2 linked regions of the Struthio camelus genome follow. The protein of the gene in region 1 interacts with the protein of each later gene in a biochemical or structural test. Links are inferred from orthologs where the notes say so. Each region holds a gene or a part of one and is shown in the gene's direction. Other genes may lie near its edges.

Region 1 (16,246 bases):
AATTTAAATCACCACCTGTGAAATTCCAGATGTGCATGGGTCTATGAACCAGTGCTTCCTAATGAAACTGTGGAGATTTATAGAAATTCTAGAGTAAAGAATTGTCACTTTTATATCTTTTTTAAAATTGAAAGAAGAAAACAATTTTAAATACTCTGTGAGTAAACTCTGGAGAATACATCAGATTCTTCTCTCAAACTCACTGCTATATAATCCTGAATCCTGATCCACACATACTGAAGTCAGTGAAAGCATAGCTCAATAGCTTTTACATAGGGCCTTACTTGTGAGAATGTCTAGAATCATATGGAATTTAATTATATTGTCCCCACATGTGTCTTTTAAATTGTCTCATACAATCCTATAGCATAGGAATTCCTATGGAATTTTCTGTTAAACGTTATTTTCTTTTTCTTTTTTCAGGACAAGCCCGTCATGCAAGTAGACACTATTTATAAAACACACGCATATACATGCATTTACGCACATATGCACCTGTGTGTTTGCATGTACATAAATGGATTGTATATCAAATATTTGTCTCCCCTTTTTATTGTAACTGTGGAATCTTTGAATGACGAATTTAAAAACCTCTATATTTCTTACTAAGCTCCTGCTTCTCACTCCCATTCACTGAAGTAGTTTACCTTCAAATCAATCATTGCACTGCCCTACTTATTTCAAGGGACTGTTTCAGCATAGCCTCCAAAGGGAAGCTTTAATGTAATGTGAATTCTCTTCTGAGACTGGTGAGATGGGGAGCGATGGGAAGGAATACTGAAGACATATGGTGGTGTAACAATCATAACAAAGGAAAGCAATTCTGCCATAAAACATGTCACTGAATCGAAAGCAGCTAGGAGTACAGAGATTCAGCATTCAGATGAAGACAAATGTAGACAAGGCAAAGCAAAGCAGTAGGTCTGAAAAAAAATGCATCATATGAGTGCATTCATACTGAAATACTGAAGAATGGTTTCTTATAAGTAATTATTCTTTTTCTAGGGAAAAGGAGAAGCCTCAAAATGCTACTTAGATTTCGAATATACAGGACCCTGTCCTTATTATTTGATCTTTTTTTTTGCTATTCTCGATATTCTGAAACTCTCACTAACTTTCTCATCATCAGTATTTGGCCATTAGAGATTTTTAAAATGTTTTGATGTAAATCAGCTCATAAAGGTTTTTAAATTCTGGGTGCACTAAAGTCAGTGGGAATTTTGCTGTTAGTACCATAAAAATTGACTAGCGTGAGACCAAGATATTATAACGTAGATTAAAAATAAAGTCTAGCTTCTTTTGATTACCAATCATAACTCCTTTTAATTCATAAAGAAAAGAGGAATATAAGGTTTGCCAAATTGAATTGAGCCAATATGCTGTATCAGTTTTGGCACAGTGGCTGTGTAATCGACTGGTATTTTACCAGACAATAGTCAGCTGCATGGTGCTGCCTGTCTTTCTGAATAGGCATCTTTGAAAGAGTAGACTCTAGGAAAAAATCATTCCCATATTGAATTTATTATTACATTAGTATGTGCATATTTCTCTTTATCTTTACAATGAATATTATAGCTACTAAATCTGATTATACAGAATCCTTCAGGCTAGTCTATGTCCAAAGTATTTTGAAAGGCTCTCTTCCTTTAGTGAGTATGGAACCCTAATGTAGACTATAATGGGAATCCATGTTAGATTTTGTCACAAATTTACACTTATACTATCTAATAGCATCAAATACAAATCCGTCACAGTCCATGAAACTGTATTAATGGATGCTTTAGCAGAATGTGAATGCTTTTTTGACAGTGGTGAGAGAAAGAAGAGAATAACAGGAGATGGGCAACTAATGATTTGGCGTCTGGACTTCTTTACTTCTGTACTTCCTTCCAGAGCCTGTCAGTTCATAAGGATGATGTTTTCAATGAAGTTTTCCTTCTTCTGGCTGCAATCTGTCTGCAGACAAGTTGGAATTTACTTTCATTAGTTTATAAGGAGCACAGACTCAGCTGTATTGGGAGCTCTATGTATGCCAGAAGTAAATGCAGTTGTGACTCAAAATATCCAAATTATTTATAAGGAAATTGACTTGAGCTGTTAATTTTTTCATGAGAAGGCCCATGTGAACAGTGACAAAACTTCCACAAAACTTGAATGATTTTATCTGTCAAAGCATAAAATATTCTGTAACTAGAAAAGTTCAATATTTTTAATTTGTTTTCTAGTTAAAGCAATCACATTTAGATGTTTTAAATTCTCTTTCTTCAGAACATTTTGCAATATTGACTTAGCACTTGCCCCCACCATTAATATTTCTTATACTAAACCCACTTGCATGAAATTCAGCATAAGATATGAACCCTTAGCTAAAATGTCTGTGAATATGCATGTGCACATTTATTCCTTCTTTACTGATAATATCCTTGATTTACCGAAGACCTCTCTATTTGTAGCAACTTTCAGCTGTAAATACGGACCTCTGACTCATAACAGAGCCTTGGCAGGATTATTAGGATAACTGACTATTTTGTCTGTTTATGCACAACACAAAGCCCTGGATTCCGTGAGCTTGATGCCTTACTGCTTTCAAGCATGAAGTGTATAAAAGCAGATTGCAGTCCATTCTCACAACAAAGAACAGGAGTGCTTGCCCTGCTGCTTACAGTTTTGATGCAAAGGCTGGATGTGAAGAACATGTTACCTATTTCTTAGCAGCAAAATGATAGTGTTATTGAATTGTTGCTTTTTATTGTGGAGGATACTGGTCATAAGTGTATCCAGATCTTGCACCTTTTGGGAATTCTTCACCTTTCAAACTATAGGAAAAATGCACTCTCCAGGGTGTGGTGTGACTATAAGCATTATCTTTTGAAGAAATTTGATTTAAGAAAAAGCACAGAAAGGGGTTTATTTTTTAAGATGCACACAGCAGCTGACTGCTGCTAGGATTGCACTCTCACACTGAGGGGACAACATACACACAAATGTTCATTTTAATGAGAGGGAAAGTAGAGGTGGAGGCAGCTGACCTAGATGGTTTTATGAATAAAATATATAATCTGATGCAATCATTTCATTAATACGCACATGGCACCAAACGAAAAAAGGGCATAGCAGATGGCTATGAGAGGTCTTAAATGGGTATTTTCGGTTTAGTAGCTAACTACTGAGATGTTGTGGATTATACCAAATACTGTCAGAAAGGAAGTACTTGTCGTATCACTGTTTGAAATAAATTTTTATAAAAGTAATGCTGAAAAGTCTGTGCTTTGAGGAACTAGTTAGAAAGTGCAATCACAAAGTGGAAGTGGGGCAATAGATTTCACAAAAACTAAAAAAAAAAAAAATCTATCATTTTCCACGATCTGAGTAATAACTTGCAGCTCTTAATTAAAATTTCTTTCTTTGCTCCAAGTTAATGCTCATCTCTGGGGTCTCTAAAATGTAACTACAATTGGTAGAAACAGTTTTTTTAATGTAACAATGAAATACAGTAACTTGCCATGTAGTTTTCAAATCTAAACCTAGCATTTATTTATTTGCTGCAGGTATGCATCCACTACAAACAACTACAAAAACAAGTCAGGAAGAAAGGTCCTTGGGAAAGTACTAAAGGTGAGAGGTCTTATTTTAATAAAATATTTGGAATAAATTTGAGATAAATGTATATTTTTAATAGGAGATAGTAGGTGAGGGATGCTTGTGTAGAATCTAGATTCTGTTTTTGTATTGCTTCACCTCAGCATAGAAAATAGCAAAGTGGAGGGATGCTATGATTTATAGCTATCTGACAGTGGGTCTGAAACTAGCCATGCGGTCCCTGTCCCACCCCAGTCATGCCATCCACAATTAGGCTGCAGGGAACTGCGTTACCTGTGTTCCCAGTGTGATCAGCTCTGTACTTGAAACGTGCAGCCTGAGAGATCTGGCTGCTTTCTGGACCCTTTGCAAAACCAGAGCAGAGCAAAAGGGCTGGATTTCTCAGAGAGGATCTGGCCTATAGCTTCTTAGAGACAGATTAACCTCAGTTTGGCATCTAAGCTGAGGAGGCATACAGTCTCATTCTTCAAACCTAATCCAAGATCAAGTTGGTTATATTATTTTAACATGAATTAACATTGAGCCAGTGTCCTATCTGAGCATGAACATGAACAAGACTCTGAAGTCTTGATTTCTTTTTGAAAAGGTCGTTTGAGCTCCTATTAGAAACGATAGAGTTTATACTGAATTTTGTCTGTAGTGGAACACTTATTCTTTTTAAATATAAAGAAAAATAAGCGAAAACACTCCCTCCTGCCTAAAAACCTATCCTTAGATAGGCTGTGAAACTAATTTTATTTTCTTTATATTCAACTGACAAAATATTGAACTGGACTGATTAAGACATGCTACAATCCAATATTGCTACTTCATTATGGAACAGTTCTTTGCAACATGGGAGAGACAAAGCTTTGATAATACTGGATGCTTGTGAATGAAATGTAGGCATGATTTTCTAATGTGAATACCATATGTATACAACATACATGTATAGCATCCTTGGCAGCTTGCTGCTGTTCAAATCCTGGCTTTACCACAGGCTGAAGCATTCAGGGGAATGGTGTATAACCTAAGATGAACCTACAGAATTTGAAAATCTTCTTATGTCTACAACTCTCCCTTACAGTCATGACCATGATTAGTCAGAGCACTTTGTTGTTTAGACAAATTGTCAGGTAAGTCCACAAGTTGCTGATGTGCATGTGACTAATAATGGAAGTGCAAATAATTGCAGTTTTCATACACCCTTGAGTGTTATACTAAACACTCGGAGAGCATCACCATCGATTCTTATCAATTCAGTTGTCACTGTACATCAGAGCTCTAATTAAAGACAGCACTTCATAGTTCTAGAAACTGTATATGTAAGTTCGTGAAAGCTCAAACTCCTTTGAACTTTCCAGTAATTTTTGATGTACACTGGCATCACAAAAAAGACTTTCACACTGATTTTTTTCTTTTTCTCCAAAGTCACTGAAGTCTGAAACTCAGTAAGCTTTCCCAAAGCTAGGGCCAATTATCTTGCGCATGAATATGGTTTTGGTGGGGAATATGAGATTACTGTTAGAAAAGATAGGTCATCTACTTTGGACTGAGATGCAGCTCCTGCAAGAACATGCCTGAAAGTATTTAACTTTAAACTCTATTTGCAGCAAAAGCTATTTTAAATAGTGCTTACAGGCTTGCAACATTGATGATAATGTAGCTTTTCATTGATGATATTTTTCTTCCATGTTTCCACAGCCGGACTATCAACTTAAAGTAGAACTGATCACACACAGCAAGCACTAAGTGACTGTTCCTTGAAAGTTCAGCATTTGATTTGATCAAAATTTGATTATTTTTTATTTCCTGGTCATAAAAACTCACATAAATGGCTTTTCTATCCCAGTGCTGGAGAATAGCTTTCCTTTATAGGAATTCTTATATTTGACTGTGAATGAAAATCTCTTCCCCTCTCTTCAGTAATTTCAGCCATAGGCTTTCCTTCACTGTTTGGTCTTGCTAAATAGGATTATCATCATCAGCTTCTTGTTATACTCCCCATTTTCTCTCCTTCTACACATACATTACTGCTCCCTTTACTGTTTTGATTTCTCTCATTTTCAGATCCATCTGCAAACAGATGCTTCGGGGTCCACATGACACAGTTAACTGTCAGGGTACTTAGCCAGATACTAGATTCCACTTAAAAAAAAAGAGAAATGCCCTCTTTTTTCAGTTGTCGTGTTGCAGGCAACTGGAGATTTTACAAATGACACATAAAAAACAAATGCAGGAAGTGTGAGAACCAACTTTCAGGAAAAATATAGTAAGATTTCAAGGAAAGACAGTGATAACTCAGTCTGCCCAGTAACTCCCAACAGCGTGGGAAGGAAACAATCCAGATTATTGAATGCTTCTTCACAGGTCCCTGACTGGGAGAGAAGAAAAATCTACCTATTTCTGTGCAGAGAAAAATAGGTAGAATAGGTAGAAAAATCTACCTATTTCTGTACACTGCTCTTCCCTCATTTGATACTTTCCCAATTCAAAGGTTAGGGGATCCAATCAGGCAATAGACCCAGTATCCTGTGACTCAGAGATCTATCTGCACTCTCCAACTGAAAAGGCAGCCAACCCTGGAGTGTCTAAAACACACAGATGTCCTCTAAACAGATGAAGCTTAGTCCCATCTATTCAAAAAACACTTGATGTCATTAACACAAGCTAGAATTGGTTCATGAAAGAGCTGCAAGCAGCACAAAGGACTACACTATTTACAGTGGTCTGAGCAGTTCTGCTACTGAAACAGTCTGTTTTTACTGAGTTTGGCTGCAGGAAGATTGTGATTCGACTTTTCTTGTTTTTCTTATGTTGCTTTTAAATGAGATTAATTGGGCAAAGCGAACAGCAGGTATGAAGGTATTGTAATTGGTCTTCATGGAAGAATACAGAACACACACTAGGCTTCCCCATCAGAGAGTAAAGTAGCTGATTCCAGCTGGTGTCAATGTTTTATGGGGAATTGTTTTGTAGTACCCCTAGTTCAGTCCCTGAAGGTACAAACAAAATAGAAAATAGCATTTTAAACACAGTATAATAATTCAGGTGGATAAAATATGTGGACTGATTATAATGCAAGGAGTTATCCAGAACACTTTATTCTTGCACAATTTATAGATAATTTATGTGAAGGTTTGGTGACTTTCCTAGCATGAATCCACCCTCAAGCTCCGAATTCTCTGGAATGGCTATGCATTTTATTTCTCCCCAAAGATGCTTATATTGTGCACACATCTGTAATCAGGTGAGAATGAAAATGCAGTTTTAAGTCCAATATCTTCCAAGGGTAAGCAGTGCTAATAGGTAAGGTTATCGCTCCATGACACCACTGTTTCGTGGGTGGCAGAAAACACGGTCAAACTTTGGGAGGGCAGTAAAGCCTGCCAGCCCCCCGGGAATTCCAGCTGGCAGCCAGGTGCTCGTAGCTGGAGGGGCCAAAGCGTCACAGTCATACCCCAAAGGAAGTTTTCAAAGCAGCATCCGAGGGGCAGCGCCTGCTCCCCGCCGGGCTGCCTGGGAAGGGGCCCTGCCGGGGTGGTCCGGTGCCGCCGGCGGCGGGGCGGGCGGTGCGCGGGGCAGGGGCCGGGGCCGGGGGGCCGGCGGGGGCCGGCGGGGCTCGGCGCGGCGCGGGCCCGGAGGCGCCCGGGAGCGGGACCCGGCGGCGCGGCGGGGGCGGGCGCCCGGCCGGGAGCGCGGCGCTGCCCGCCTGCGAGGAGGCACTCGGCGGCAAAACGAGCCTCGTGCCAGCGCGGAGAGTTCTTCCTCCCGCCCTCCTCCTCCTCCTCCTCCTCCTCTTTTTTTTTTCGGTTTTATTGTATTTATATGTTCATTTATTTTCACCAGAATAATAAAAATGAGAAAATCCTAGCGCTGTTTTTGGCTGCTCTCCACCAACCTGTCAGTGACGCAAGCGGAGACTACTTAAAGGCAGATTAGAGGCAGCAAGACATTAAAAGCCAACCTTCCTCCCTCCCCGGCGCGGGCTCCGCCGAGACGCGCCGCGCCACGAGCGGAGCGGGCCGGGCCGGGAGCGGCCGCCGCGGGGCCCCGAGGTCAGCCCAGGCGAGCCGAGCCGTGCCGAGCCGAGCCGAGCCGAGCCAGGCCGGGCCACGCCGGCCCGGACGTCCTCGGGAGAGCTGCCGGGCCCAACCGCTTCCCCGCCACCGGACTGCTGTCGGCAGAGGGGGGTTGCACGTTTGTTTGTTTCCCCCTCCACCCCTCAAAGGAAAAGGAGGGGAAAAAAAGGAAGAAGTGAAGAGATCCCCGCCGCTTGCAAAAGTCTTTGTCTCCGGATGAACAGCGATGGGGGAATGGACTATTCTAGAGAGGCTACTGGAAGCTGCCGTGCAGCAGCACTCTACTATGATAGGGAGGTAAGGGCTACAGGGAGGCTTCGGGGAGGCTCCGGTGGGCTCACCTCCCCTGTCCGGAAGGGTTGGGCAGTGGGGCCAGCCGGCTGGGTTCGCGGCCGTGTGGGGCAGCACTCCCGTGTGGCGTTTCTCTCTCTGTGCCTGTGTGTGTGTGTGTGTGTGTATACGCGGCATAGGTCACCGAGGCGAGGGGCTCGTGCAAACAACGCCCGCCCCGTCCCCGAGGAGCCAGGGGTCAGTGGGGCAACTATGGGGCAGAAGTTGGCGGCGCTCCGCCGCCGTCGGGGTCCCGCCGCCGGGGCAGCCGGGTGCCGTGCGTTTCCGCGCTTTCGGGGGCCCACGCGGTCCATCTGATGGCCTTTTCTCCAAAGGCAGGCGCGGTAAGGGGCGGGGGTGGGCTGACGGCCGCCTGAGCTTTTTGCCCGCGGGTGATCCGTACGGACGCACACGAGCGCGCCGCGGCGATGCTGTGCCCGCGGCGCGCTCCCGCGCTCGCCACTGCCGGGCTTTAGCCGGGCCGCCCGTGGCGCCCCGCGGCGCCTCGACCCCCGGCCCGGCCCCGGCCCCGGCCCCGGCCCCGGCCCCGGCCCGGTCAGCACTGGACAGCTCCCGGCCGCGGGGCAGCGGCGCGCTCTGACGGGCTTCTCTGTTCCAGGATCCTGCTGACCGTGGTGGTGATCTTCCGGATACTCATTGTGGCCATTGTAGGGGAGACGGTGTACGATGACGAGCAAACTATGTTTGTGTGTAACACGCTGCAGCCAGGCTGCAATCAGGCTTGTTACGACCAGGCTTTCCCTATTTCTCATATAAGGTACTGGGTGTTCCAGATCATCATGGTGTGCACTCCCAGCCTCTGCTTCATAACGTACTCTGTTCACCAGTCTGCTAAGCAGAGGGAACGGAGGTACTCCACTGTCTTCCTCACCTTGGAGAGGGACCAGGACTCAATGAAGCGTGAGGACAGTAAGAAAATCAAGAACACCATTGTCAATGGGGTGCTGCAGAACACCGAGAACTCCACCAAAGAGGCAGAACCAGACTGCTTAGAAGTGAAGGAAATCCCCAATCCTGCTATCAGAACTACAAAGTCAAAGATGAGGCGGCAAGAAGGCATTTCTCGATTTTATATCATTCAAGTGGTCTTTCGAAATGCCCTAGAGATTGGATTCTTAGTGGGACAATATTTTCTGTATGGATTCAATGTCCCTTCCATGTACGAATGTGACAGATACCCTTGCATTAAAGAAGTAGAGTGCTATGTCTCTAGACCCACTGAGAAGACTGTATTCTTGGTATTCATGTTTGCTGTCAGTGGGATTTGTGTGGTGCTCAATTTGGCAGAACTGAACCACTTGGGCTGGAGAAAGATCAAAATGGCAGTGAGAGGAGTACAGGCAAAAAGGAAATCCATATATGAAATCAGAAATAAGGACCTGCCAAGAATGAGCATGCCTAACTTTGGCAGGACTCAGTCAAGTGACTCAGCTTATGTGTGAGGCTGTGACAGAACTGAAACACTGTGCCAGGTGGAACAGACCCAGACACCATTAGAGAAAGGTACATTGCTTAGGCAAGCATTTTATCAAACCACCAAGAAAGCCATTAAGGTATTGGATCTGCACTTACTGAACTAGATGCAAAATGCAGTGCTATGTAAAAGACTGAAAAAACACCTATAAGACCATGCTTGATCTAGCCTTACAGCACAGTTACTATTATTATCCTTTTTCTTTCTAATGATTGGGTGTTATCTTTCGATGGAGCAGCTTTTTGATCATCATTAGGATGAGACTACAGTTTGGGCTGTGTCTGACTAATTGTTGTAAACGTGTAGAATGTTCTTATTAAAAATCTGCAAGGATACTCTATATGGGATGGGGTGGGGTGGGGGAAACTGTTGCAATGTGCAAATGTAAGCATGTTTAAAAAGGAGGGTAACAGCACTGTTAGGAACCTGACCACAGCTTGATCAGGACATCTGTGCACACCTATTTCACGGATGTCTGATATTATTTTGTTTGTCCACATCACAGCATTTATTTCTGGTGTGTATTACTAGCTATTTTCTAACATAGTTTGTACAACAATTAGTTATGCTAAACAATAAATGCAGAATATAATTTTGCCATTTTTTTTGTTTGCCTGTCCACACACACACCAGAGACCTTAATCATCTTACATTAGTTGTGACCTACAAAATATTTCAGTACATTTCAGTTTTTTCCCTAATATGTGCATAAATAAGATGGAGCTGGTTCATGTCAGCAAGCTTATGTATTTACCTACAGTTACCTATGATGACACACATACCAAAGGAACAGAGTTCATTGCTTTTAACTGTGAATATATCACCTTCTCTCTGCTCTTATTTATATAAGTGCCATACTTGAAACATCTAACTCTGTACAAAAGGTTGTTTTGGGATACCAGCTGGAATAAAGTGATTTTATACTCTCCTTTGCTTATTTTATGCTATTTGTTCAGTCATTGCAATGGTATAAAAAGCAGCTAAAATCTCTATTGATAAATAAAGTACTTGCCTTTTTTTGTAAGTTAGGGAGATTTACTCTTCTTTATTATTATATACAGTTACAGAAACATATGAGGCCGAAATAATTGACTTACAATAATCACTCTTTAGGGTTTGAAGTGTCTTGTTGATATCCTGAACACTAAGGGACAAAACCTGGGAAATCAGGGCTATCCATTATGTCTGTATTCCCCCTTAAGCAATGCTTCCCTGTCTTTAAAGCCTGATCCAAAGCCCACTGATACCAACAGCCTTCTTTCTGCTGATGCTAAGGGCAACACAGCTGGCTGCCAAGGTCACTCTGGGAAGAGGCAGAGTACATTTACCTATAACTGAAACAATTGCAGCTCTTCATCGGAGAATCCAAATAGCAACTGCAGCTTTTCTGCCTTCCAGCTGGTTCAAAAAATACACTGTTCATGTCCCATCGACACGAAGGTGGTCACAAGTGAATCTCTATTAATAGTGATCATTTTACTACAGGACACTAAGTTTTACTCTAGGACCTTATTTAATTACCACTGCAGTCGACAGAAACTATCCTAATGGCAACAGTAGGAGTTGGATCAGGACTCAGAAACAATACAAGTGCTAAGTAAACGATATCTTAAAAGAAAAAGGCCAAAATGGTGCTGGAAAGTTTGGGGATACTTTATAACATGACAGGGAGATAGGGGCTCAGACTTGCAAATGGGCTCTTGATCGTGTTTTATTTTGACCAGATAATAGATTTTACAGTATTTTTGCCTAAAGACCATGCATATAAATCTTTTCTTCTTAGCTCACAGTAGATATGTCAACATTTCATTCTTATCATTTGCCAGCATTGTCACTTAAAAAAATGTTGATTAATGCTTACACAATATATTATCACTTTCATCTGTGGATTTTTTCCTTCCACTCTGAAACATAAGACTTTGAGTTTTGTCATATTTTTAAATCTTTTAAAAGTAATTTTCCTTATATGCAAAAAAGAATAGTATTTCCAATTTGATTACAGAAACCCACAAAAACAGATTTGTCAAATGGTTCTTTGTGATATAAAAGCACACTGGTATTGCTAGTTGACTGCATGCTCACTGTGGAAAACTGCATGTTATTTTTAGAAGTACAACATGGCAGCTAAAATCTCCATCTGCAATGTAACAAGCTTCTAAAGATTATTATTTGACACGCAAATCCAAGTCTGACTTTCATTTTGCAGAGTCCGGGGATGTTTTACAAAATCTCCTTTGGAGTAGAAGTTGAAGGGGAAAATATTGTTTGACCATAATAAGCATTGTTTTAATGCTGAAGAAATGAGAGATTGTGTGCAAAGGGCTCAATTTAATGTGAATTAAAGTTGGAGGAAAAAACTCCTACTGACTTCAATGGGCTTTGGATCAGGTTTAGCATAATTTTCTGTTATGCAGAAGCCCTAATGTGAGTTATTTTCAGTAGCTTCAAAGTAGTATTTAGTCAAAACTAGTGAACGTGCATGTCTTGATAGCTACAAGATTTTAATACCTTAAAATCCTGTAGATAAGACGAAGAAAGGGTCTGTTTATAAAAGTTAGCTTCAGTGACTCAGTTCATTCCATTATTTTATGCAGTTGCACATTTTGTATTACTGTAAGTTGGGAGTATTCAGAATTTTGTGAGAGAAATATGTAAGGAAATATAGATGCTAATTTATGCAGCAGGATCAGTGATAACCTAGGCAAACATTCATATCTGGATGAACAGAAATGTAATCCTCAATATTTTCACTAAACAGTATATGGCTTTTCTTATTTCAGAAGAGAAGTGAAATAATATCAAGAAAGTGGTTGTTCTAGTCATCCTTTTCAATTATCATTTTTCTTTTCTTGCCAGCTGCTTGTCATGAACAAGAGAAATAGCGTAAACTCTTTTTTTGTCAATGCATTATGTCAGAGTCATATGATTAATGCTAATGGACTGTTTGCATGAGAGCAGACTATTCATTTACAGAATAAATGTTTTAAAATTATCACAGCAATGGAAAAGTGTGTTAACTAAACAGAACCGAGTGACTGTGACACTGAATGGAACATTACTGCCTACTCAGGCCTTGATCCTGCCTCATTGAAATCAATTAGAGTTTTAGCACTGATATCCATGGAAGAATCAGACATTAGCTATAAGCATTCAGTTTACGTTTATTTCATTCATTGCATATCCTGTTTTGTACTGGTGGCCAATAGTGTATCTCATGATAAATGCAAACATAAAATTTATGATCAGTAAGCTTTTTTGGAAAGCTACAATAGCATTTAATGCAATATTGGTTCTGTGGAACTTTAATATCATATCATGTAAAACAATGGAGATTATTTAACTTATATGTAGCCCTTATCTTGTGCTTTTCAAACCAATGGGAATTTCAAAAATAATTTACATAGTGCTTTCGAACTATTTTACAAGACATATTTAAATTGCAATGACATACAGTAAAAAGGTTTAAAAATATCTAGCAATTGCTTTTCACGATGAACACTACATTTTGCGGGGGTAACTTGAATTGACTGTTCCTATAATTAGTTCAGCTTTATAGACCATTGACTTTGAAGAAATATAAAGGCTTTTGTATTTCTTAAAGAAAGTCTGCAGAATGAGCAGATCAAGTGAGATGAACAGGTTGCCCAGAGAGGTAGTGGAGTCTCCTTGCCTGGAGATATTCAAAACCCGCCTGGATGCGATCCTGAGAAATATGCTCTAGAGGACCCTGCTTGAGCAGGGGGGTTGGACTAGATGATCCCCAGAGGTCCCTTCCAACCTCAACCATTCTGTGATTCTGTGAATCTGTGATGAACATATCAAGGAAGAAGTGAGATTGATTTTGAGTTGTTCTGCACCAGAGAAGTCAGAAGTCAGGAAAGCTCAGAAACTCCAGAAAGGGCTCAACGCTTGTCCTGCCTTATACCTAATAGGGTCGGACAGAGCTGTTGATATGTAGGACTGTAGGAAAAGAGTAGATGAAAGGTTAAGGATAAATGTGAGGAAGACTTTTTCATGCACAGCTAAGGGTATAGCTACATTTATTGTAGGGCAAGAGGATGAATAAGATGTACATTGTCCCTGCATCCTTGTGCCTTTATTTTGTTTGAATGTAAATATTCTCTTCCCCCTTACTCCTTCAGTGAAACCTGTTAGAGGCTTTTGCTTGATCTGAAAATATAGAAATGGGATTAAAAAATGGAGAAACATGAGGGAGAAAACAGGCAGAGTTTTCTTCATTTAGGGTCTGATTTTGTTCTTTCAACAATAATGGGACTTTGTCTTTTGTGGCACCAAGTCAATTTCCAGCTGAGGAGAAACTCCATTCCATTATTTCATGATATTAACAGAAGAGATCACCTTATTTCTGTACTGCCCACTCATTCCTGAACATTTTGGTGTACTTTTTCCAGGTATTATATTTTATTGTAAACTTTACAAGGTTAGTATCATCTAGTAAGCCTAAAGCCAGATTCTAAACCTATTTCCCTCCACACTGAAACACTGAGGATATCTGTGAAGAAAAATTGCATTAGGAAGTACTTCATATTCTCTCTGTTAACTTGCATTATAGCAGTCAATCAGGAGTATGAAGTAAGTGCAGTCAGATGATATGGAGAATTATATAGAAATGTACTACTAATAAATGGTATATCTTATATATATAAAAACATGTATAATAATATATAATAACCACATAATATATAGAATAACCATATAACCAAAAATAAAATATAAAAGTAATATATGTAAATATATGCAAGATTGCTAAAGGAGTTTAATCTAAATTATATTGCTATGTTATGGACTAAATCTCAGAGATGGATACAGAACAGGTCCTGCATCCAAAGGGACCATTAAAAATCACACAAATAATCTATGTATGTACTCTGCAATGTTCTAACTGGACATTTGACACCCAAAGACATCTATGATGACCCTTTTTGTGTAAATTCTGGGGCTATGGGCTACACGAATTGCTATAGCAAGTTTAACTGATTAGTTGTATATCTAAGCTACAGCTAAAGAGAGACATGCATTTCATTGCACTAAAATCTATCAGCTTTTTCTAATGGTGACAGACGTACAGGATGAACTAGATCTCTAGCTTGTGAAAACCCACATATACAGTTACCCTCTTTAATTTCCCCCCAGTATCTCCCAGATTCAACAGAACATGCAAGTAAGTCTCTTTTCCAGTATGTGGTGTGTCTGGAAAGAAGGACAGATAAAGGTTTACTAGTACCTGGATAACAATTAATGCATTCTAAAGTGTTAAGAAATTTGGGACTTTTGGTCTCTATCAATGAAAGCAGAATTTTGTTGCACTTAATTTCTCTATAAATGTGTTTTGTGGTACATAATTAAAAATAACCATGATTTTTGAAATATGTTCTGAAAAGTCTGGTGCAATCATGATTAGTTTTTTTTTCAGCACTTTTTTCCCAAAGAAAGGTGGAAAAAATGCTGGCTGAAACTGAATCAGTCCCTATTTTTGAAAAAATGTCATAAATTGTTAACACTATTTTAAATCTGTTAGCAAAATCTTTTTGGAGAGTGCTAAAGCAAAACATTCTTGGCATCAGTATTGCACCATTGTCCCTCTAGAAAGTGGTTTCCTTTTCAATCACAAGCTTTATTTATTAAACCTACAAGCTTTTTGGCAAAATGAACATTAGGCAGGAATTTTATAACGTGTTTTGGAATAGCAGGTTATAAAGAGATATAGATTAAGGAAATAAATGGGGAATGGAGGAAAAGTATGGATTTGTAGGTATTAAAGGGAAAAAGAAAGGTGGGCTGTGGACTTACTTTTCTCTGCCTATGCAGTTTAGGAATAAAAGCATGTTCAAAATACATCCATGAGCAATTATACAAGGTTCCTTGCGGTATCTCTTGTGTAATAAAAATAATTTTAGAAACCATTCAGCAAACGTTTTTCATCTTTTTCATTGAAGAGACGAAGTGGTACATTACACCACCCAAAGCCATCATGAATAGTAATGTCCCTGTGACTACTCCGAGCCTTCAGTGAACTTAACACATCTGGAGGTATTCTGAATGCACCACATTCTCCATCACTGGTCTGCAGTGAAAGCCATACTCCTGTTGAAAAATGTGCTCCTCAGAAAACAGCCTGTCGTGCAGTACGTTACACAGACACATAGCAGACATACCTAGGGCGATCAGATTTAAACCTTCACATCAAAGGGTGATTATGGTGAATATGCATTGTGAATAGCGTCCCTATGTGGCCAATAGAACTTAAATATAAAGCAGTTTTCACATTTGCAGTGAATGTGATGTACTATAGGTTCAGGTGTTTTGAAGAAGGATGGCTGTCCTAGAAATTTCTTTATTTTCCCCTTAAAAAAGAAAGCCTCCTTTAGCAATGACCTTTGTGTAAGAAGATATGTAACTACACACACACACACACACACACACACACACACACACACACACACACACACACACACACACACACACACACACACACACACAACACAACAACGTACTTCTATAATTTCTCAAGTTTCTCAGACAAGATTCCACATCTGACATCGTTACATGTCCTCAAGCAAGTGTGCTTAAGCAATATGCAGTTTATGATGCATTGAGCTATTTATCTCCATTTTCTCATATAGAAGTGGGTATGTAGCTGTAAGAGTAAGAAAATAATTTGTTGTATCTTCTATATATTTACACTGATCTCCCAGAAGTGAAACACTTCAGATTTCTGTCTAATGAAACTATTGAGGTT
Region 2 (15,350 bases), on another chromosome or scaffold:
ACTTCACTTACGTTCTTCTATTTTGAGCCCAATTAAACACCACTAGTAAAATAGCAAGCATATATTTGACAATATAATTTCTATTACTACAACTACCAATGTTAAACTGCACTAGTTTTGGTGTAATAGTGGAAGAAAAGAGCTCACCTCTGTGACTATGATCCACTGTCACCCAGCAGGACTTTGTGACTTTTAATTTAATACTATCTTCTAAAACAAACTGTCTAGGCTGATACTAAAGCAATTAAATAACTATGCTCACATAAAGAGTCATCCGAGAGCGTAAATTTTGCAAATTATAGATAATCCCTGCATTGTCAGTCTTTCAGTTCTTTTTACTAATTAATTTCAATCACCAGTAAAACTTGAGTAACTGTTTTTTCAGTACATGCTTGAAGTTAATAGGAAGATCAATAAATGCATAATGCAAGTCATTTATTATATAAATTGAATGCATAAGCAGCCAATTTGGTTAGTGAACTGTTAACAAGTATATATACCAGCCAGTGAGAACTACAAGACGGAAAAGGAAAGCTACGCACTTGACTGTAAGACGCAGCATATGAAGCTAACCATTAAGAACAGTGACACGGATAACAGGCAGGCTTGACTAATTGAAGGTAGGAGCCAATAAAAGAGGAAAGGTATTGCTGAGCTCTCCTAGCTATGATACGGCAGAATGACAATCAGCGTGCAGAGTACACAGCAAGACAATCATCGTCTTGACAGTACAGTGTGTTTGTAGGCTGTGCAAAAAAGGCAATGGCCAAAAGATTTCAACTCAAGCTGTGAGGAAGCCATGTCCCATCGCATTGCTGTGGGATTATTAGCATACTAGGACTTTGCTGCTTTGCTGTAACAGATTTTTTTAAAAAAAAAGCTGGAATACTAATTCTGGTGTCAAGCCAAGTTTGAGACTAGAGAAACCAAGAGTCATTATCTAGTAACAGAAGCAGGTCTGAGAAGAAAAAACAGCAGTTTAACTTGCTAGATCTTCACAAAAAACTGCCATGCTGGGCTCTAAACATCCAACACAGCAGTTTATTACCATTTAGATTACTAAAGTCTGCAAGCAAAACACAAGGAATTTTCGCTTTAAATGCATACACTGCTCGTGCATAATAGGCAACAAAGATAAGCAGCTCAGACATTCTTTCAGTAGCTAATGAGAGAACTTTATGCAGTTATACAGCAGCTTATATCTGTCAGTTAAGACCTTCTTGAGTTTGTTATGGTTTTAACATAAACCTTTACTGGCTCCCTTAACGCTAGTGATCAAGGATACTTCCATTTGTTAGGATCAGCTGGTGACAGAGTTTTTCCTCTGTCTGCACGACCTTTGGGCACTTCTTGGTTTTCCTTGGTAATGGAAAACAAATTGGTGCTAAATGGGTCCAACTGTAATACACAACAAGATATAGCTACTCTTTTTACAGTTACTTTTCAGTTTTGCATGAACACAGTTTTCAAATTTTATACTGACAGACATGTATCATGGAACTACCTCATCACTTTATAATTATTTCCAGCAAGCAACGTTTTAGTGGAAGAATCACAGAATGGTTGAGGTTGGAAGGGACCCCTCGAGATCATCCAGTCCAAACCCTGCTCAAGCAGAGTCACCTAGGGCTCATTGTCCAGGATTGTGTCCAGCCGGCTTTTGAATATCTCCAGGGAAGGAGACTCCACTAGCTCTCTGGGCAACCTGCTCCAGCACTCAGTTACTCTCACAGTAAAGAAGTTTTTCCTCATGTTCAGATAGTTCAGTTTGTGCCTGTTGCCTCTCGTCCTGTTATTGGGCACCATGGACAAGGGTCTGGCCCCATCCTCTCGACACCCTCCCTTCAGATACTTCTGCACACTGATCAGATCCTCTCTTCTCCAGCTCCCTCAGCCTTTCCTCATATGAGGGATGCTCTAGTCCCTTCATCATCTTAGTAGCCCTCCGCTGGACTCGCTCCAGTAGCTCCATGTCTGTCTTGTATTGGGGAGCCCAGAACTGGACACAGGACTCCAGGTGCGGCCTCAGCAGGGCTGAGAAGAGGGGAAAGATCACCTCCCTCCACCTGCTGGCAACATTCTTCCTAATGCACCCCAGGAGACCATTGGCCTTCTTGGCCCCAAGGGCACATTGCTGGCTCAAGGTCAACTTGTCCACCAGTACTCCCAGGTCCTTCTCTGCAGAGCTACTTTCCAACAGGTCATCTCCCCAGCCTGTCCTGGTGCACGGAGTCAGGCCTCCCCAGGTGCAGGACCCTGCACTTGCTTCTGCTGAACTTTATGAGGTTCCTCTCTGCCCAACTCTCCAGCCTGTCCAGGTCCCTCTGAATGGCAGCACAGCCCTCTGGTGCATCAGCCACTCCTCCCAGTTTTATATCATCGGCAAACTTGCTGAGTAGGCACTCTGTCCCTTCCTCCAGGTCACTGACGAATAACTTGCACAAGACTGGACCCAGTACTGACCCCTGGGGGACACTGCTAGCTACAGGCCTCCAACTAGACTGTGCCACCGATCACAACCCTCAGAGCTCTGCCACACAGCCAGTTTTCCTTCTAGAAAAAGTTGAGATCTGTGCCAGAGAGGTATGCAAATATTCTCAAATTATAACTTCTCTGGTTGATAGTGTGCATTTGAAGGGCTTTGCAGAAGGTGTTTATAACTTCCACACTAGAGGCCAACACTAGAGGAAAGCACTAAAGAAAAATTATAGTATCACTTTTCTATTCACTAATTTTTAATGGTAGTTTGGTTAAAAGTTTCGTCACAAAGAGTCTCTCTCTTACGTGAGGTTATCAGTATGATCTTAGCAACAGCTGGGCTCTAGATATTGGGAATTTTTTTTTTTTAAGTCTATATACAATCACCAGGACATTTTGCATAACCAGTACAGCCATTCATGAAAACTGAACCGCCGTTATTTTTTTTTTTAAATTAAAGCCCAAAGCATTCAAGCTACAAAGCACTTCTAATATATATATTTTAAAGAGCTGCAGTACAGTTTCAGTGGAGCATCACAATATGTTAATATGGTGACACAAATTCTATTAACTTATACAAAAATTATAAGCCATAAAATATGAGAGACGTACTTATTTTGGATTGATTATATCACAGATCAGACTGACTTGGCACCCATCGTTACAGCCTTACGAGTTGAGATCTTCCCTTTTTATCCAACGTTAATTTTCCTAACATTTATCTTTTAACATTATTTTTAGTTACTTCATCTTCTATAAAGCCCTTCTGACTTGCACAGAAAGTCAACTGAGCAGCATAAAGATGAGAGAAGAATTCTCAAGATCATCTTTGAAGTAATGAATGTCCACTCGCCGAACTTATATTCTCTATACAAGTAAGTCAAAAGCTTTACAGCTTTTCAAACCAGGTTTTTACATTCGCTTTTAAAGGACTCTTAGGACTCAGCATTCCTAGCTGTCTTCATTTTTACAGCGTGGTTACTACACAAACATTCCCGTAGCTGCCAGATTCAACACCCATAGCAGCAATATAAGCAAAGGGAACACAGCACACAATTTTCACATGAGACACTATACACAGAGGGATCTGCAGGTAACATCAATTGCAGTAATTAATTGACTACTTCCCAAGGGGGCCTGAGGGGGAAGGAAGGGATGTATTTCTGAACACTGTCATCACTCCAGCATCATTTATGACAAGAACAGCAAGTAGCACTCAAAAACTTGCTGTGGCAATACTCTTTGAACAATCAAACTTCCCTAAAGAACTACAATAATATTAAGGTATAAATACGGGTGTTTTTATCTTTACAAGAAAGTATGGTCCAAAGTCTATTCATATTCCTTAGGGATCAGACTTCTGTTCTATATTCTAAGGTTATGAGCAAAACACCCCTTGCATAAACTCTAACAACTGGTACCACAAATGCACGTGCCTGAACAATGGGAGAATGTTAAAGGCCGCAAAGTCAAGTAAAATCATTCATGTTTTCTCTCGGTCGTTCAGAAAAAGGGTTAACCTTTTTGCTGAAAAAGATCAAAAATATAGATTAAAAAATGAACACAATTAATAACAGATACAGATAAACAGATACACATAAAATTACAGGCAATGAGAACAGGATATGACTACAGAGAAGACTGGATGCTTTTAATTATAGACAGCACTGCCATACCTACCCATGCCATCATCTCATCAACGATCCCCAAGAGAACTGTACCGGCAACGTATTTACTGGAATTACTTCACAGCACACAATCAATTACTGATATGCACAGATCTGGGAGCAGGAGGGCAATAATCAGATACAATTTTGTACAACATCTCCCAGAGTAAGAGAACATTTTATCAAATAGATCTTCTCCAAAGACCTTTGTAGCATTAATAATCAACTGCAGTCTATACCAGTAACGTTCAACTTGAAAAGCTAGGTTATTGAGCTATGGTGATCTCTGAAATCACTGAATGCTTAAATCTACTTTCTGAAGTACTCTAGGTCCTGAGAGCTAGCTACAGGCCCAGAATGAACAGCCAGTTTCTACATCAATTTTATCAAAGTACTTCTACGCTGACTATGTACGCTATTTTTGAGTGCGTGCAGGATCCAAAGTAAAGGGGCCATTGGTACTCAGATTATCTCTGAAAAATTAGATATCAAGACTTTCCATGAAGCCAAGGACTGAAGCTATTGCCTGCTACAGTAGAAGAATGACACGAAAGGCCAATGTTTGTATAATTGACTCCTACGAGTTAATTTGTCCTATTTGACCACATTTATTACAAACACTGACAAAAAGGGATATCAAAAAGAAAGCCTAAGCCACAACTAAGAACAAGAATAAAAAAAGGCACTAATATGCCACAGACTTTCTACCGTGTGTTCAAAGGCAAAGATATTCCACATCAGGCATGCTCATGCTCTAACTCTCCCCAGGCCAGGATTATTTCTTACCTAGCTAAGTCTATTTTCAGCACATTTCCGTGCTGATACTCTCAACGGCTTTGAGGAGTGAGGATACCACAAAATTTCAAACAACGACTTTAGCTTGCAAATCACCTTTTTGGCCACAAATATGGGAAAGAATTACATACTGAACTAAGTAACATGACAGTTAGATTTTTAACTTAAAAATAACAGAAAGAATAGTGAGAACTGTCGAATAATTTCTCCAAGGCACAAAACTTACTTGCTGGAAACTATAATCGGGACAGCAAAAGTACTAGACTACTGATTGTCCACAATGCAGCTCTTGTGTACAGAACGTTATCTCCTTAAGAGATGCTTATTTCCAAGTACATGATACTCCAAGCAAGCTTGACAGGCAATTCTAAGAGGCTATGATACTAAAGGTTGTGAAATATCCAGAGCTGTTGAGAGACGAAATTGATTATGGAAGAATCTGGACACACAGCACAGCAAAGCCACTTCCTTTATATTGCCAGATTAACCACGTATTTTCTGTGCTTTGAACACACAGACCCATGAAGACAGCTGGTGGGAATTGTTTGGATAAGGAAGAAAATAGTGACCTCTATCATACCCCAAAGGACATTTAGTAGGAATTAAGTAGGAAAAGTAAGTACACCTGCTTATAGGGAAAATATAAGATAAACAATTCTCAGTAGCTGATTTGTAACCTTTTTTCCTACTTCCTCTAGGATCATATACATTTTACTCTGAATTATATATTAATAGAACGTGGCTTAACATTTTACACACTTGAAGTATTTACAGCTTTTAGGGTTTTAAATCCCAGGGTACGCAACAGTCACATGGTAACACAACTTAGCATCAGCTTTGGTAGTGACTACCACTTTCTATCAAAGCGAGAAAAACATCAAACACAAGATCAAGCGAGAGCCAGACACTGTAAAATGGAAAAATAGAAGCAACACCGAACAAGCAGAACAGAGAGACTTCTCTTTAGATGGTCACAAAAAACTGGGACAACTGACTCCTCTCAATAAATCGCTGTTTGGAAACCTGACAAAATGCACTTTAGGCCTGAAAGAACCTGCATTAAAGTAGTTACAAACTTTTTTTTATGCTACATTAACTAAAACCACACATACAAAAAGTCTTACACTGTTATTGAAGACTCGTGCACTGAGATAAGACTAAACTGAGATAAATACGATGAAAAATATTCCAAATAAAAACGTTTTTGAAACATCAAAAATCTACCTAAAATATTTATGCTGTGGCTGCAGAAGAAAAATGCCATTATTCGTAGGCCAAAGCAATATTTTAAAGGGCCAAAAATTACGAAAGCTAACTGCCATAGCTGTACATCTGACATAACGTGAGTATGATCACCAGGTAGCTGGATATGAGACTAACGAGTCATGTCTGTAAGCCAAAGGATAAAGAGAGGTCAACACTAGACTCTTGGGGACTGTATGGAGAAGTGTGATGGGAAATGCTCAAATACGACATTTAAATGCACACAGTGTGAACTGAATTAAGGGTGCTACTAACAAAAAGAGCTTTTTTGAATACTGAGAGCATGAAAAAGTAATTAGCTAATGAAGAAGTGTAAGACAGATCCAAGATAGAAAACAGTAACCAATAAGTTCACTATACTGTATATATAATATGCAAGGAGCTGATTAAACATGTAGCATGGATTCAAGGTGCAGGACAGTTAAACCCTTCTGTGCCTCCTCTGGCAAATAATACACAGTTTCCTCCTCACTATCTACCTTACTGCCATGAAACAGGAATAGTATATTCAGCATCAGCTTGAAATAAGAGGCAAATTTGGCTGGTGGAAAGGAGAGCGTCAGAAAGAGACTCTGGAGCAATCTCTCGCAGCTACGCCCCAAACTGCCTGGAGAACCACAAGTCCCCGGCACGTCAGCAGCGGCCAGAAGAGAGACAGAACGTGGAAGGAGCTGTGACAAAGTTTAGATTTGATATGATTAAAAAGGGGGGCATAAATTTGGAACAGCAGTCATAAAAATAACATTCCTGCATATTTAGAAAGAAACTTGAATTTCTGTACTGATGATGTGAAAGGGGAGGTAGCGTACAAGAATTAAAGGCCTCTTAAAAAGCTTTGTGCTCTCTATGCCTTCCACCACGCCAACACTATTACATTTGTCCTATTTAAAATACTTGCTAAATATAAACAGCGAGAGAAACAAGTTATTTTCTACCGACTCTTAAAGTCAAGGAGAAGAATCACGAGAAGAACGGTTCAGAAAGCCTCTAGTCATCGCTGTCCCCTAAGTTTTCTGCCTGTTAGAAAAGTGGAGCGAAGCTCAAGGAACCATGTCAAAAACCCACCACGTTAATCATTTCTTCTAGACAAACCTGCAAGAAATAGCATGATTATCAAAAGAAAAGATCTACCTGTGCTGTAAATACTTAGAGTAAAGCAGGAGTAAGGCACGCCTGCGAGGACTGAATATTCGGAGAGAGAAACGTGCGTTTCAGTCCGCAATGTTTGCTTGGGAACACCACAGCTCAACCACAGCTCAGCACGCGCAGCAAAACACATCGGCTCATCCACGCCAAACCGCAAGGCACGGAGCACGTTCCTTTTTTGACAAAACGACCGCAAACATTTTGCCATAATACAAGAAACGGGTCATTTTAACAGCTGGTCAGCTGGCAAATCTCTAACGCTGAGAACCAAAACCGACTAGAGTACAAGTTTAACTGTGTGTTTTTTTTATTTTTTTTTGATTTTAGCAAGTGAGGCTAATTGCTGACTTCCAATTAATGAGAGACGAGCCAGCTAATGCTTTTAAATCTTCTTCCTGAACAGTACCAGCAGCATTGCGAGGAGATTTGACTTTTTTCTTTTCAAGCAATGATACACGTATATATTTTCACATTACGCCGGAAAAAAATTCATTTAAAATTCATTTATTTCGCACAGCAGCGCCCGAGGGGAGGGTTCAAAGCTCCGTCCCGAAGAGGCCGAGGGAGGAAGCCGGCCGCCGCGCACCGCCCACCCCGCGCGGCCTCCCCGGCCCCCCGCGGCTCACAGGCCGCCGGGTCGCGGCCGGCACCACCTCCTCCTCCTCCTCCTCCTCCTCCTCCTCCTCCTCCTCCCGCCGCCGCCGCCGCGGCCCAGCGAGGCCCGGTGGCGCAGCCCGCCGCCCCCCGCTCACCTCTCCAGCTCCGGGTCCTCCTCCATGGCGCGGCCCGCGGCCGCCGCTCAGGCGCAGGCCGCCGCCATGTCCCGCTGGCGGCCGGCGGGGGCGGGGCGGGGCGGCCGAGGACCCCGCGGGGGAGGAGCCGGGGCGGTGCCGGCCGGCGGCCGCCTCCCCCCTCCCCCCTCCGCACCTGCCGCCCGCCCGCCCGCCGCGCCCCGGCCCGGCCCCGGCCCCGGCGCCGCTGCCCCTCCCCGCCGGCTGCCGCGGGCGCCTGCCCCCGCCCGAGAGGGGCCGTTTCCTTCAGCGCCCCCCGCCCAGTTGCTGCGGGCGGGCGGGCTCGGGAAGCAACTCTGGCGCCAGTCCTGGCGGGACGGGGCGACCGGGGCTGTCCGCGCTCGCTTTCCGCTAAGGCGAGCGGGGGCCGGGGACGGGCTAAGAGCGGGCTTGGGGGCTCCTCGCCCAGCGCCGGCAGCGGCGGCTGGGGCAGCGGCGGCGGGGGTGCGCCGGGGCACGACACCGCCCCCCGCGCCGCGGCGCTGCTGCCCGCGGGGGCCCCTCACCCTCCGCCCGCGCCGCCGCCGCCGATCAGGCGAGCGGCGGGGCCACCCCGGGGCTGCGGCGCGGCCCGCCCCGCCCGCTCCCATAGGCTGCGGCGCCCCCGCGCCCGGGGCTGCCGCCGGCGAGGCGCGGCGCGGCGCGGCGGGGCGGGGGCACCGGCACCGGCGCGGCGGGGACGCGGCTGGGCCAGGCGGGGCGGGGCGGGCTGGGCCGGCCCCGGCCCCGAGGGCTCTGCGCGCCCGGCATGGAGGCGAGCGCGGCGCCGCTCTGAGGGGCGGCGGCGGCGGCGGGAGCCGGCGGCGGTGAGTAACTTCCCTGCCCGGCTGGGCGGCCGCTGAGGGGCGGTGGCCGGAGGCGGCAGCGGGGCCGGGCCTGCTCGGGCCGGGCCTGCCTCGTGGCGCAACAAGTCTGGGGCGGGCGGGCCGGGGCCGGTGTTCGTTCAGGTCGCGTCTGTCGCGTTGAAAAAACCGTCGCGGCTGGCGAAGCAGGTGGCAGCGCTGAGGCGGCGGCGAGGTGGGGGAGCGGCGGCGGCGGGACGGGGACGGGGACGGGGACGGCAGCCCCCTGCGGCTCCGCCTGCCGCGTTTCTGATGCACAGCCCGTCTGGTTGTGCACTGCGCCAGAAATCCGCGGTTAAGTACTGCTGGGCCCCATCTAATTCCTTTTTTAATTACACGATGTTGTGGGTTTTCTTTCGCGCTCGCGTACAAAGTAGGAGTTTCTGTTACGCGCTGGCTTTGGGGTGTCGTTGATCCCCCTCTGGAAATAAATCATAGAAGCGTTTGAGCTTCTTTGTTCAAAAGAGAAGCTGCTCTGAGCTAGGCTCTTATTAAATAAACAGCTGGACCGACCGATTTCTACTCCGCTACCCAATTCCTTGTGGCCTCGTGATGTTTTATTCTAAGCTGCGATCCAGCAGCAGATCAAGGAGGCTTAGGAAGAAACATCAGATGGTTTCAGTTAGTGTCCCTGCCCGCTCGGAAAATAACCACCTTAGTACTGCCATATGCCGCCGTGACTTTTATTAAAACAGATTTCCTCAGGGTGGAAACAAGGTATTTAAGCATACTGTCTGGGACCGTAAGGCTTAATAGGGCCCTTCTAGCATTTACTTTTTGAAGCTCACTGAGTGAGGAGTCTTCTCTTCCTTAAACGCAGCGCTGCAGAACGATAAACCCCGAGTTCGGGAAACTGCAAAGAACGCCCTTTTGTCCAGTGGGAATCTTTTTACATAAAAGTTTATGACATTTCTGATTTTTAAGCTTCTGTGTTATTAAAATTCTAAAATCTCAGTAAACACAAAAAAACCTCCTACACATTGATTTTTAGATCCGAGTTTTCTATAACAAATTCCTACCCTACTGACTTCAGCGACAGATAGCCCAGGGCCTTGGACTCGGGTCTGAGGCTTGCACAAACAACATGATTTCCTAACCCAGGTCTTTAACCTTTTTTTAAAATTTGTTCAAACATGAAGCTGCAATTTAGGAATGAAACTTTGCAAGAGGAGTGCAAGCTGGTGACTAGGTGGAAAAGTTTTGTTCTCTTGAACAGTTAGGTTAATTTAAAAAATAAGCCTACTGAAGCCTATCATATATAATTAGAAAAATATTGGCTTTGACATTGCAAGCTTTTGCGTGTGTGTGGAGCCGACTCACATAAAAGCCTTGATGACCTTAGTGAAACTTTGTTTTGTCATAAGGCTTTGCCTGAACTGAACAGCCTGTGAGTCTCACTATACGTTTCTGGACCAGCATCACTAAAAAACAGCAGAAGTTTGTTAGCTTCCAGTTAAAACTGTCTACTTGAAAATACTTCAGAATATTCCCCTGCTAGACTTTTTTTTCAATCCTATCCTTCTCTTAATAAATGCTTTAAATACAGCCACTTAAAGCCACCGTGAAGCAGAAGTGAGGCTTACAATATCACTCTAAAAAAGAAATGTGTAAGGATATGATGTAGTTTAGACACTGGAATAGTATACATTAATTTCATAAATCAGCAAGATGCTGCTTGTTTAAAAAGCTATTAGATATTAAGAGCTGTAATAAGAAAACAACCTTTATTCAGAATGAAAATGCTTCCTGGTGTATGGAGGCACCAGAGGACACTGGAAATCTGTTTGGTCTAGTCAGTGGTTTGTCTTTGATATTTGAAAATTCTTTGTTGATTTAGTTTGGAAAAGCAATTTAATGTGACACCGTTGAATTGCATGCTTCTAAATTGCTTTATTAGGTCAATGGAGTTTTTTTGTTTAGAAATCATAGTGCCTTTTAAGGATGAAAACCCTTTTACGTGTCATTATTTAATTATGTAATTGTTAGGTCACGGTGTCTAGAGAGCAATAAAAGACAATAACATTGTAGTCTCTGCTTTTTATGGCCTCAATTCTGTAGGCATTCATGCGTATGTTTAATTCTGAAAGTTCAAGTTTTTCTTGTGGAATATGGTGGGTCTATTCTTGGGCTTGATGTTCAGCCTGTGCGTGAATGTCTTGAGGATTTATGTTTGCAAAGTTTGGGGGATAAACCTGTCCCATTTTCGTCCTGACTGTTTTCATCTTTTGCATGACTTCGTATAGGTAGATGACTTCTGGCTTGGCAGTGAGGGCTGGCTAACCAATGGACATGTAACGAGAAACTCCCAACCGTGCCATGGGTCTCCTTCCCTTACAGATGGTAGGAGTACTGTAGAGGAGCTGACTTCATACTTGTGCATTGTAGTGGTACAGACATCTCTCTCATTTTTGGAAGTGTTTTTGATCATCTGAATTTGATTAGGTGACAACCCTTTGCATTCTCTTAGATGTTTATTTGAATGAATGTTAGTTTCACAAATAGCTTAGGACAGTTTCTGTTTTGGAATTTGGGCTGGGAAGAGAGGGGAGGTTTCTAATCTGAGCCTCTCTGATAGTGAGCTAGTGCATTATATGGTAAAAACAAAAGGCTGTGTAAGGATGCAGTTGTTTGCTGTAAAATCGGGTAACTTTTGAAGTTTTAAGATTTTAGGCAAGATTTTAAGTTCCGTTTTATGATTCTGAAATTTTTCCATCTAATCAGTAGAAAGTATTTTAATTAAAAAAAAAATTGCGCTAAGATACTGCAAGATACAATGTTTTCAGCCTCGTTTTTAAGTAAGCAAATTGTATTGTTGCTCTGTATTTGTGGTAGTTTAAGACTGTCTAGAATTTTCTTGCTGTTATCCCAGCAAAACAGACCAAATCAGGTAATAACGGAATTGTGAGGTTATGAATGTGCTAGATTAATATTATTTATAAGTTAATTTTCACCTGACAGTCTGCAGGAAGGTAGAGTTGATTTGCTTTGGGCCATAGAGAAGAATGTGTTATTACATCTCATTGCAGAGAACTGCTAATGCTTAAGTATTAGTTAATGGAGTATACATAATTTATACGTAGAACCTTTGGCTGTAGAGCAAAATTCAGTTTCACTGAGGAATATATCCAATATATGAACAGATACTGTTTTAAAATATTGTAAAAGGTAGTTATAAACAGTTCCATAGCATTGAAGGAAGAGGTAATATGAATTATTTGCCTTGTTCCTACCAAAATGCTTCTAGGAGTGAATCATGAGTGTAAGTGGTGTGCGTTAAAGGAGGACAAAGCTGTAGTTGGGAAAGAGGAGAAAAACAGTAGTTGTGTAAAGGCAAAGCAGGGCTTTTGGAGTAGGTTTCCTGGGACAGTGTGGCGGTGTCAAAAACTCTTCAGCACGCTGGGGAAAAAATGAGTCGCGAGCTACCTACTTTTGCACTGATAAATTCTTTACAGTAGGAGTAATTTTCAAGTGTATTATAGGCTTTTCCTTCGCGAGATAACCTCACAATTTCGTGTTCTCACAGTTGTCGCCTGAGAGCTTGCACAAGCCCAGTGGAATCTGTCAGCACATCACTGTTATGGTTAGAAAATAATCAGGATAAGCACAGTTGCTTATTACTGACTGCAGTAACGTTCAGGTCAATATTCTTATCCATGGGAACCTTTACGAACTCTTTTAGTTGTACTCCGGTCACATAGATTTCTTTTTCTTTGCATACAATTTTTGTTTGAATCCGGGTTACTCACCTCCACAGACAGCCCTCTCTTAATGCGATATTATTTTCAAAATTTTGGCTCTGAAAGGCCAAAAAATATTAGTGTCAGAGGATTCTAAACTCTTATCTTTTTATGGGTTTCTTTGCTTTTCAGACTAGGTGTTCATCCTAGCTCTGAGTTGACATATAGGAGAAAGAATGATGGGGCAGCAGGGTTTTTTTTTGCTCGGAGAAACATAGGCAACTTCCAGCAAAGCCAGCAGATCCAGGTAACATAGCTAACTTGTAGAGTGAAATCAGTTCATGGAAATAGTTTCCAGTGGATGTTGTATTGTACTTGGATAAGCTATCATGTTCCGCCACAGGAATTCTGTGTTTGCTTTGAAAGGACTAGTGCATGGTGGGTTTTTCTTTTTTTTCCCTGATATATAAGTGACGTTTCATAATCTAGACGTTTTGTGGGGTTTTTTTCTTTTCTTTTCTTTTTTCTGGCAATCCAGTTTTGGTTGGCATCCCTGAACAAGGTCTTAATCTAAAAAAAGGTTGGCCGGTATCAGTAAACCTGCTTTTTTGATGCATTTTGTTTTAACGTAACGTGAGTGGGCTTTTGTCTCTGTACATGGTATTAGTCCGCAAATGAAATAAGCTTTACCAGCAAATCTTCTCTTATGGCAGTATAATAGAACCTCTGCTGGGCTTTTCTGGTGGTAAAGCAACGTCATCCAAATCATTCTCCTAATTGACATTGCTACGTGCTACACCAGCAAAAAGAAAAAAAAATACCTGCAACCCTCCACGGTCCTCTTAAGAGAACCATGCTTTCGTTTCAAGACTGTTTGTTCTTCCATCACCTTCAATAACGATCTTTGTGCAGAACAATACATTCAGAATCCATCCTATGCCTGCTTTTCCCCACTGTATGAGGCACAATGACTTTGCTATCCAGAGAACAGATTCTGAAGAGTCACTGTGCGGTTGTGATGCATGAGTCAGCCTACACCTACCCAAGTAGAGTAAGTGACATTTCAAGGAGGACATTGGAGATGTTAATGTCCATACACGCCTCATGGGTGGTGCGCTGAATGTCTGCCGCAAATTAGATACTTATCTAGGTATCGTAATGGGCTGCTTCTGCAAAACTGGGGATTAAAAATTAGAGAAGAAATCAAAGTAAAAGCCTTTGCCACTTCATGCAGAGGGATGTCTTATCATTACTTGCATGGTAATGGATTATGTCTTTTTTATAGATCTGCTCCCCCCAACCCATACCAATGATTTTTCTCCAGTTGAAATTTCTTTTCATGAAGTTGTTTAAAATGTAGTCAGACTGAAATAACTGTAAGGAAAAGTTGATTGATATGTCGTAAAACCACATAGACAGATACTAAGGTGATGTGTAAACTTTTTGGTCATGTTTAAAGAGTTTGGTATAAACCATAGTCCATTGTGATCCTGTAGCTTTAACTATGCCTTTAATACAGCATGTGTACACAGAAGCTGTTACCCAAGCTCCCTCCGCTCCTTGAGCTGCCTGCATTGTTGCTTAAATTAACTTTTTAAAGCTAACAAGTCAAGCTGCTTCTCGAGCAGTTTGATTAAGATTTCCTTCTGTCCAGCCTTTTTCCTGTCTTTTTTTTTTTTTTTTTTTAATTACTTGGCTCTAGGTGGGTTTTCTCAGCCCTTTACTGTTACAGACGGAACCTAATGAGGCCCACCAAGTCTGGATATCTTGATGAGCTAGGAAAATAGTTCTGTATCCCTGTGCTAGATCTTGCCTTTTTCTTGACTTCATGCTAATCAAAAATTAGCATAAATCAGTTCCAGGACCGTTTCTACAAGTAGTCCATAACTAAGCTGTCATTGCTGCTTCTAATTAAGGTTGAAGCTTTAAAAAATCTCAGGGTTTCCTGCCATATATTAAGGCCGTATAAAATTATATATGTTTGATATTGAAAGCTTTCAGAATTTAGATTTGCTTCTTAATTATTTTAATGCCTTTTAAGTGCTGAAAGTAAGGTAATCTCATCTAGGTTATAGTAAGCTAAAAAGTACAGATAGTCTTATGTACTTGTGAGTCTGTACGTTTTATCTGAATGTCTCATGAAGTTGTGTATGTTAGCTCTGTTTGTACGTCAAAGCTTCATAAAAATCGAGTGACAAACAACCAAATGTGTTTCATTTTAGAATCACCGGTTAAAAAAAAAAAAAAAAAAGATATCATTTTACTTAATCTGGCAAAATAACCACTGTTCAGTAGCTGTTATCTGCTGAATGGCTCAGCATGTCTGCTCAATGCTGTTATTTTAATATCCCGTAGCTTCAAATATGTGTCTATCTATAGATGCAAGTGACATGAGCTGAATTAGTCTTCACTGTGTGTACAGCAGCAAGCTGCCTTGGTATATTTTTACAGTGTGGGCATGATCCTGCATAAATAATACTGGCATTTTTGGTTGTGGGGAGTTTTTTTCTGCTCTGAAATGTATTCTGACTGATAGCTGCTGACTTATCTATTGACTGTGGCTCTCGTGCGTTCTATAGGGAAAATAACTTTCCAGTGAAGCAAACGCGAAGGTGATTCAGTAGCTGTGAAAAGGAGAATCAGCAGCACAGCTTGTCTGTGCGTTTGACCTGAGCTGTCTTGTCTTGTAAG

The links.
Region 2: the proteins of GJD2 (region 1) and LNX2 form a complex in vitro, tested with the Homo sapiens proteins (2 studies listed by BioGRID and IntAct, with this or other methods). The link is inferred for Struthio camelus from reciprocal best matches to the Homo sapiens genes GJD2 and LNX2.

Annotation. Positions count from the first base shown.
Region 1 is NC_090946.1:50,669,824-50,686,069, forward strand, and holds GJD2 (gap junction delta-2 protein), read left to right. Parts: upstream 1-7,624; 5' UTR 7,625-7,887; coding exon 7,888-7,958; intron 7,959-8,610; coding exon 8,611-9,454; 3' UTR 9,455-10,414; downstream 10,415-16,246. UniProt on the Homo sapiens protein: One gap junction consists of a cluster of closely packed pairs of transmembrane channels, the connexons, through which materials of low MW diffuse from one cell to a neighboring cell.
Region 2 is NC_090942.1:200,704,401-200,719,750, forward strand, and holds the start of LNX2 (ligand of Numb protein X 2), read left to right. Parts: upstream 1-8,814; 5' UTR 8,815-8,946; intron 8,947-9,022; exon of another isoform or gene 9,023-9,157; intron 9,158-11,225; exon of another isoform or gene 11,226-11,322; intron 11,323-15,350. Other genes in the region: protein POLR1D, read right to left, coding at 8,102-8,127.